Linked DNA regions of Oryzias latipes. The protein of the gene in region 2 interacts with the protein of the main gene of each other region in a pairwise test. Links are inferred from orthologs where the notes say so. Each region holds a gene or a part of one and is shown on either strand. Other genes may lie near its edges.

Region 1 (3,785 bases), on a different chromosome or scaffold from region 2:
TCTGTCACGGCAACCATGCATAGCGTAGCGCTGCGGCGTGTCGCACAAGTCAGAAGAGTTAATAATTAAAGGATAATAAGTTTGACAGAACACTTTCCATTGTCTGATTTTGATGCTGTATTGAAACTTTAAAAATTAACAGATTCAGATGACTTCATAAAACAAAATGACAAGAACTGAAAGTTTGGATGAAGATAAAAGTGTTTGGCAGCAAAAATTTAAGGAGTTGAATACGAAAGAACAATAATAAGGAATATTTACACTTGAAATTGTACAAAACCTACTTTTATTTTACAAATTTGTTTTATTTTGCTGCTAAATTTGACTGATTGATTCTTGGTATTTACTTTTCCTTTTTAGTTCTGAAATTGTACTTACTACATATACAAATACCTGTGTTTCTGCATTGTTACTTGTAAAAAAAAAAAGCAATAAATCTAAATCTATTCTAAATCTAATCTAAATATGATGGTTATCATATATGAAAACTAATGCAAAAGTCCAGTGACAGGGTCATTTCTAAGAATATGTCATTTGAAAAGGATTTTTTCTATCAGATAAGCAGTGAAAGGGCGGACTGCCTTTTGTTGGAGTCCCTCTTTAAGTGGGGGGGGGCTCCAGAACAGGCAGTGCCGTTCATGGAGTTGATCATTCACTTTCTTGCTCAACAATACAACTAGTAATTGTGCAAAAACGTCAATCAAGTTAATAAATCACAGTTGCTCTATTAGAAATGGAAAAGTTCTACTTATGCAATTCTGATTAAAATATCATTTAGGACCTTTAACTTCAGTTTCTTCATTCAGTTACTTTTTTGTGCCTAAAATATCTTAATTGTATTACTTCATGTTGCTCAAAATTGGAGTAGAAGCCAGGGGGAATGTGGAGCAAAGGGCTGTTTGGAGCTGTCTCCTGCCTTCCTGTATGTTGTCAGTGATCCACGCTCACATTCGTAAGGCGCAAAATTGCACAAAATTGTCATTTAAGGCAAATTTCAGCTAAAAAACGCTTCCCTCTGCTCCTGGAAAGTTCTGACTGGGAGCTCTCTCTCAGTGGGGAGTTTCATTTAGAAACGCCGGTACGAAAGGACATTTTATCTTTGGGTACAGCTATTTAAAGACTCTGTTTTGCTATTCACAAAAGTCCAAAGACCGGAGAGAGTGCTGCACAGGGAGGTGCTGGGAGAAAGCTGGAGGACGGAGAGGGGAGAAGGGAGGGTGAGGAAGCAGAGGGAGGGATGGGAGAGACCGGCCTTTTGGGTTTCTCATTAGTTCAGCGTGGTTCTCCCTTTCAGTTTTTTTTTTTTTTTCTTTAAACGCCCGCCCACCAACCATTATCAGCACCGGCCTTATATATGCAGCCTGATGCTGTTGTTTACGATTACACACACTTTGCAGCTCAAACCGTCACACAGCCACCACCATGAGGGAGTTCAAGAGCAAAGATTTTTGGAGGGCCGTTCTAGCCGAACTGGTCGGCATGGCCTTCTTTATTTTTCTCAGCATCTCTGCAGCCATTGGAAACTCCAACAACGCCAACCCAGACCAGGAGGTGAAGGTGTCGCTGACCTTTGGATTAGCCATCGCCACTCTGGCCCAGAGCTTAGGCCACATCAGTGGAGCCCACCTGAATCCCGCCGTCACCCTTGGCATGCTTGCCAGCTGCCAGATCAGCGTCTTCAAGGCAGTCATGTACATAGTGGCTCAGATGCTGGGTTCAGCCCTCGCCAGCGGCATCGTTTACGGGACGCGTCCTTCCAACACCAGCGCCCTAGGGCTCAACTCTGTGAGTAAAACTTTTTATATCCCCTTTTCTTGACAGCAGAATTTGTTTACCTAAATAGGATGCACGACAGCATGGAGAGGTCGCCATCCTTTAAACGCACACCTGTCCACGTTGCATTTTAAGGACAGTGCATTTAAATGCAACGTGGAGAGGTGTGCAGGTAAAGGACGGCCCCTATAGACAGAACCACCGTTTTTTGTTTGGCAAAAAAAATCTATTAAAAACTTGTAGCTTCAGTGATTTTATGACTCTACTACTGCAATAATATGATAGCATCAAGATGTCAGCATAAAGCCAGTGAAGGGAAACTTTCCATTCTTTCCATTCCAATGTCTGAATTTTGTCCCCCCCCCCTAAAAACCCACAGCTTAACGGTGTCACCCCCAGCCAAGGAGTGGGCATTGAGCTTCTGGCCACCTTCCAGCTGGTGCTGTGTGTCATTGCAGTCACTGATAAAAGGAGGCGTGACGTCATGGGCTCTGCACCCCTGGCCATTGGCCTCTCAGTTTGCCTGGGACATTTGGCAGCTGTAAGTTACACCATCCCCAAAAATGTTTGTTCAAGATTGACCCCAGTGGATTTTAGTGTGGTCCACCAGGTGAATAAACCGCCTTTCATTGCTCCAGAATGACTTCATGTCTTTTTTTTTTTTTGTGATCATAGATCAGCTACACAGGCTGTGGCATCAATCCCGCCCGCTCCTTTGGCCCAGCTTTGATCCTGAACGATTTTACGGACCACTGGGTAAGTTGGAGGGAGAATGAGCCCCAGCAGACCTCAGACAGCTGAATGTGGGCTATTTAGCAAACCCAAGTAACTCACTACACACATAAGTTAATCAGTGTTTGTGGCATTTCTGTGACACAGTAAGGACTTGAACGTTACAAAGTCAGTGCAAAAGCTGATATGAGTTATCTGTCCTAGGTGTACTGGGTGGGCCCGATGTGTGGTGGTGTAGCGGCGGCTCTGGTGTACGATTTCCTGCTGTCCCCCAAGTTTGATGACTTCCCTGATCGCATGAAGGTCCTAGTCAGCGGTCCAGTGGGAGACTACGATGTAAATGGAGGAAACGAGTCTGCGACTGTGGAGATGTCTTCAAAGTAGCTGCAGTTGTTTTTTCCCCCCACGTCCTTGTAAATGTCTATACTAAAAAAAAAATCAATATGTACAAATTTAAAATTCAAAAGCTTTGAAATTTAGTGCAGAGTTTTAACGTTGTTTTGAAAAAAACCAAGGAGGATTGTCGTCTACGGGTCAGCTAGAGAGGCTGTCTAAAGTCACTCCTTTTATCAACGCAGCACAAGCTCTTTATCAAACCGCTGCTGAAGTTTGAAACCCCGGGCGGGACGTTTGCTGATCCTTTTTCTCCATATCAGTATTGTATGTTGAAGCCTATTTTGTATATTACCTGTTTCACTTATTCTTATTCCTGATGGATATTATATTGTGTGCACTCTTTTGTCTAAAGTTTTTTACGTAAAATAAAACACAATGTGAGAATTTGTTGTTGTCGTTTCATTTATTATTCAAATTTTCTTTAATGTTTTTTGTAATACTATGAATTCATCCCAAACACAAAAACTGCATGACATAACATGCAAAAAGTTACCAACAACCTGATAGAGTTCCTAGAAACACACAACTCTCAGCTGTAAGTTTATGATCTGTCAGATTAGATTATGCACGAGTGATTATGAAAATAAAACACAGCCAAAGAAATGATCCGCCTTACTCACGACTGCCCTTACGGACGGATACGGGCCTGCACAAAATTTGAGTGAACCTGTAGAGTGAAATAAAAAATGTTAATGAACATTCTTTTAGAGAACACTTATGCAACACGTAAGGGTGAAATAGGTGGGAAGCAGGTGAACGCTAAGGACTGCACAGGGAACCTTGTTGGTGCAATAGATAAGTGCGTGCTCCTTGCTCCTTGTCTAATCAGGAAATTAGACAGATTGTAGTTCATGTGGACATCTTACAGGGGTCCCACGGGCACG
Region 2 (3,569 bases):
AAAATATCAGCATAGAAAGACATTTGGCAGAATACAAACATGGAGGCTGCAGTATTTGATCAACTGTCATATGCAGCCGCGCTTTGCCTTGTGTAAAAGACTCACTCATGTAAGAAAAAAAACCCAGCTTTATTTTTTTTTTTGGGGGGGGGGTCGCTGCTCCGTTCCACTCCGATTCATGCACTTGCAGACAAATAGATCCATAAACATCTTTGTTTTCCTCGTCTGAGCTGGAATCTGGTTCGACACTTTACGTCTCGCCATTTTTGCTGAACCAGTAATGTTAGACTGGGGTTGTGAGGGGCTGTAAGCTAGTGGGGGAGCACGTAAACAGATGGGGGATGGAACATGGAGGCGGGCTTGCTTCTTGCCAATGGTCCCGCCCACAACTCAGTCAAATTTCTGATGATTACCTGCCGCTCTGCAGAAACTACGTCCTAGAAAACCACACAGGTTTGTGACTTTGGCTAAAAATTGCATCATCAGATTTAAAAGACCACTGGGAACACTTTTTACACAAGATGATCAGAGTGGGACTTTAAGAAGAGAAAACAGACTTCCTGCCAATGGCAGCACTACAAATAAGTGAACACATGACAGACACCCAGATAAACTGCACGAAAAGCAATGACATGGATGCAAAGCATCAACGGGGAAAGCAACAAAGTTTCTTACTTCTGGATTTTTCAAGTCTAGTTTGGTTTCCAGTAGAAGAACTCTGCCCATCAGGTTTTCCCAGCTCTCTCGAGGTATTGTGATAACTTCTTTGTCCCCCTGTAATTCAGCCATGTGCAAGATGGCCCAAACTAAACATGAGGTTAAATGTACAGTTCGTCATTTTCTTTTCAATTTAGTCAATACTAGTTTACCTTGTCGGTGCTTTTCCAGTTTTCAAGTTCCTCCAGACGTTTCTCCAGAATGTCCAGCTTGTTGAACCGAGATAAAATCTGATTCACTTGAACCTCCAACGCTGAGAGTCTGCTCTCCATCCCCGATAACTGAATGACATGAATACTATAAATACTAGTAATTGATAAAGACATGTACAATCTAGAGTTTGATGCTTAGTCCACTGATATTTAAATCAAATCTGTTTTTTTTTTTAAATAGCACTTTTCATATCTGATAACAAAAAGTGCTGTACACTAGAATAAACAATAAGAAAAAAGTTAGTTTATTCAAAAAAATAGATCCCCTCTCCATTACACAATATCTCCACACCCCTACAACCCTTCATCTCATGGTGATCAACATTGCCAAATAAATAAATGAACAAACGAACGAAAGAAAGACAGCAAAAAGTCAAGTTAAAGAGATGGGTCTTAGGCCTACATCCAAAGTGGGGGACTCCAGGTAAAAAGCGCCGGTGTGACAGCATGTCCTCCAGATATCCTACCTCTAAATACCTGGATCAGGTGTGTCCAGCCAAAAGGAACATGCCAGGTATGTGGAATTCAGCCCTTTGGTCTGCATGCTTTCATGGTGTAAAGCCAAACAGCATTGCTGTCAGTAATGCTGGTAAATGGAAATGGCTTCGGCCCTGTCAGCTTAATGTGTAAACAAAGATGGGGAGTTCATGTTTTATCCAGTAGATAAACCAAGCCAGGAAATCCTGTTTGGAAACGAAGACAGGAATAAAAGCGTCTTCCTTCCTATGATGCTTCCACAGCCGTCAACATAAGAACCGGGTGGGAAACCCTGGAGCTTTCATAAGATGGGATAAAGGTCACCGCATAATCAGTCTGTGGACAGAAGTACGACAACATTGGAAAGCTGTGTCTGATCAGTGGAAACGAGGAGGACACGCCCCCAACCAGCGCTATTGAAAAAAAAATCTTAATCTAAATCTAAAATGTAGCTTTGAACCGAACTTAAAACAGCGACCTCTTCTTTACTCAAGATACTGAAGTTGGTCCATGACATCATCTCCAGCATAGCTTAGCCCATTTGTTCATTCACAGGCGTTTCAGCACCCATCAGCTTTGGAACACTTCAGAGTCTTGCTATTAGCTTTAATTTGGTTCAAAAATCATGTTTTAATCTAAAATCTAACCCAGCAGGCTTTTGTTAAAAGATGCATAAATACATTTAGCTACTTTGCTGCAACACATGAAATTGACTTCTTGTAGATTTGACATCTGTCAGTTCTAGCTGAAGTTCAGGGAATAAAAACATCTGCTCTCTCCAGTACTAGAAAAACAGCTTATCGACAACAATAAAAGTGTGAATGGTGACAGCTAAAACTTCCACGGAGTATTCTACTTTTTTGCCTTTCAACTGCTCTGGGGTCCCCACATCTCATCTAACCTTTTCCTTCACACAAACCCCTCTGTTGTTCTCCTCCTCTTCATCCATGAACCTCCTCTGGTTGGTCTTCATCTAGGCCTCTTTTCTGGTAGCTCCAACCTCCGAATCGTTTTATAAACATTGTCACGGTACATTCCTGTCATGTGTCCAAACTATCTCAATCTGGCTTCTCTGCATTCATCTCCAAAACTTCTACTAGAAGCTGTTTTAGCATCACCTGTTGAATTAAAGGTTAAACCAACAATGGGTTTCAAGCACAGCTGTGACTGAAGGTCACGCTACCTCAAGCAGTTCAGACCATTGACTGTGAATGAGAACTGGACTGAGGGTCCCCTCCCCCCTCACGGTCCAAACAGGAAGTACCCGCTGGCTCCAAGAGGCTAATTTCCCTATAGAGAAACAAACAGCTATTCCTCCATTGGTCAGAAGACATTTTTCTCTGAGAGCCTTTTTAACATCTTGCTAATCCTGTGGGGCCTCTGAACCATATAGATACAGAAAAGATGACCTAGACCAACTCAAACTGACACTGAATCTGGAAAACAATGTTTGTTATGGATGAGATCCCCTTTATTTTTAGGAAATACTTACACAAACAGTGCCATCACTGGGCTCCTCTGCTATTGGTACATTTGTGATCTCATTTGTAGAAGAAATGAAGGAATCCACGTCAGCATGAGGAGGACAGGACGGAAACTCTTCTGCACTGGAGGCGATTGCAGTGATAGAGGACGGAGTTTTAGCCAGATTTACAATAAACGGCTCCCTGAAGATCTAAAAAAAAAAAAAAAATGTTGATCTTTTGTTTTAATTTTGACATCATCATTTGGAATTTTCAAAAGGTAGGGAAGAGTTGCTTTAACATACAATCAAGTATTTTAAGACTTTTTTGCCAAAGTGAAAAAATACTACTGCAAATGCTAAGTTGCATATAACCTTTAAGAACAGCACTTATTAATTGTTCGTGTCAGTTGACTTTGCCTTACACTGGGAGGATCAGGGTTTACTGTATGACCTTCCACTCCAACATCACTGTGTGAGACAGGGCGTCTGACTTTGGGCTGCAAAAGACACACAAGGAGATTAAAAGTCCTTTAAACTTGCATGACAGTTGTGTTTTTAACATGTTAGTGCAGCATTTTCTGATGATGGAGGACGTGTATGAAGAAAAAAAGCTTAAATTAGCATTTTCTGAGTATTTCTTCAGGAACAGACAAAAAAATGCTGTTGGCAAAAGCTTGTAGTTGTTACAAAGAAACTAC

Evidence for each region.
Region 1: the proteins of cep44 (region 2) and aqp1 interact in binary tests that used the Homo sapiens proteins (3 or more experiments, as listed by UniProt). The link is inferred for Oryzias latipes from reciprocal best matches to the Homo sapiens genes CEP44 and AQP1.

Annotation. Positions count from the first base shown.
Region 1 is NC_019875.2:28,339,741-28,343,525, forward strand, and holds aqp1 (aquaporin-1), read left to right. Parts: upstream 1-1,360; 5' UTR 1,361-1,422; coding exon 1,423-1,785; intron 1,786-2,152; coding exon 2,153-2,314; intron 2,315-2,448; coding exon 2,449-2,529; intron 2,530-2,709; coding exon 2,710-2,889; 3' UTR 2,890-3,285; downstream 3,286-3,785. UniProt on the Homo sapiens protein: Forms a water channel that facilitates the transport of water across cell membranes, playing a crucial role in water homeostasis in various tissues.
Region 2 is NC_019859.2:27,430,328-27,433,896, forward strand, and holds part of cep44 (centrosomal protein of 44 kDa), read right to left. Parts: intron 3,369-3,569; coding exon 3,294-3,368; intron 3,082-3,293; coding exon 2,899-3,081; intron 999-2,898; coding exon 870-998; intron 807-869; exon of another isoform or gene 775-806; coding exon 676-774; intron 1-675. UniProt on the Homo sapiens protein: Centriole-enriched microtubule-binding protein involved in centriole biogenesis. In collaboration with CEP295 and POC1B, is required for the centriole-to-centrosome conversion by ensuring the formation of bona fide centriole wall.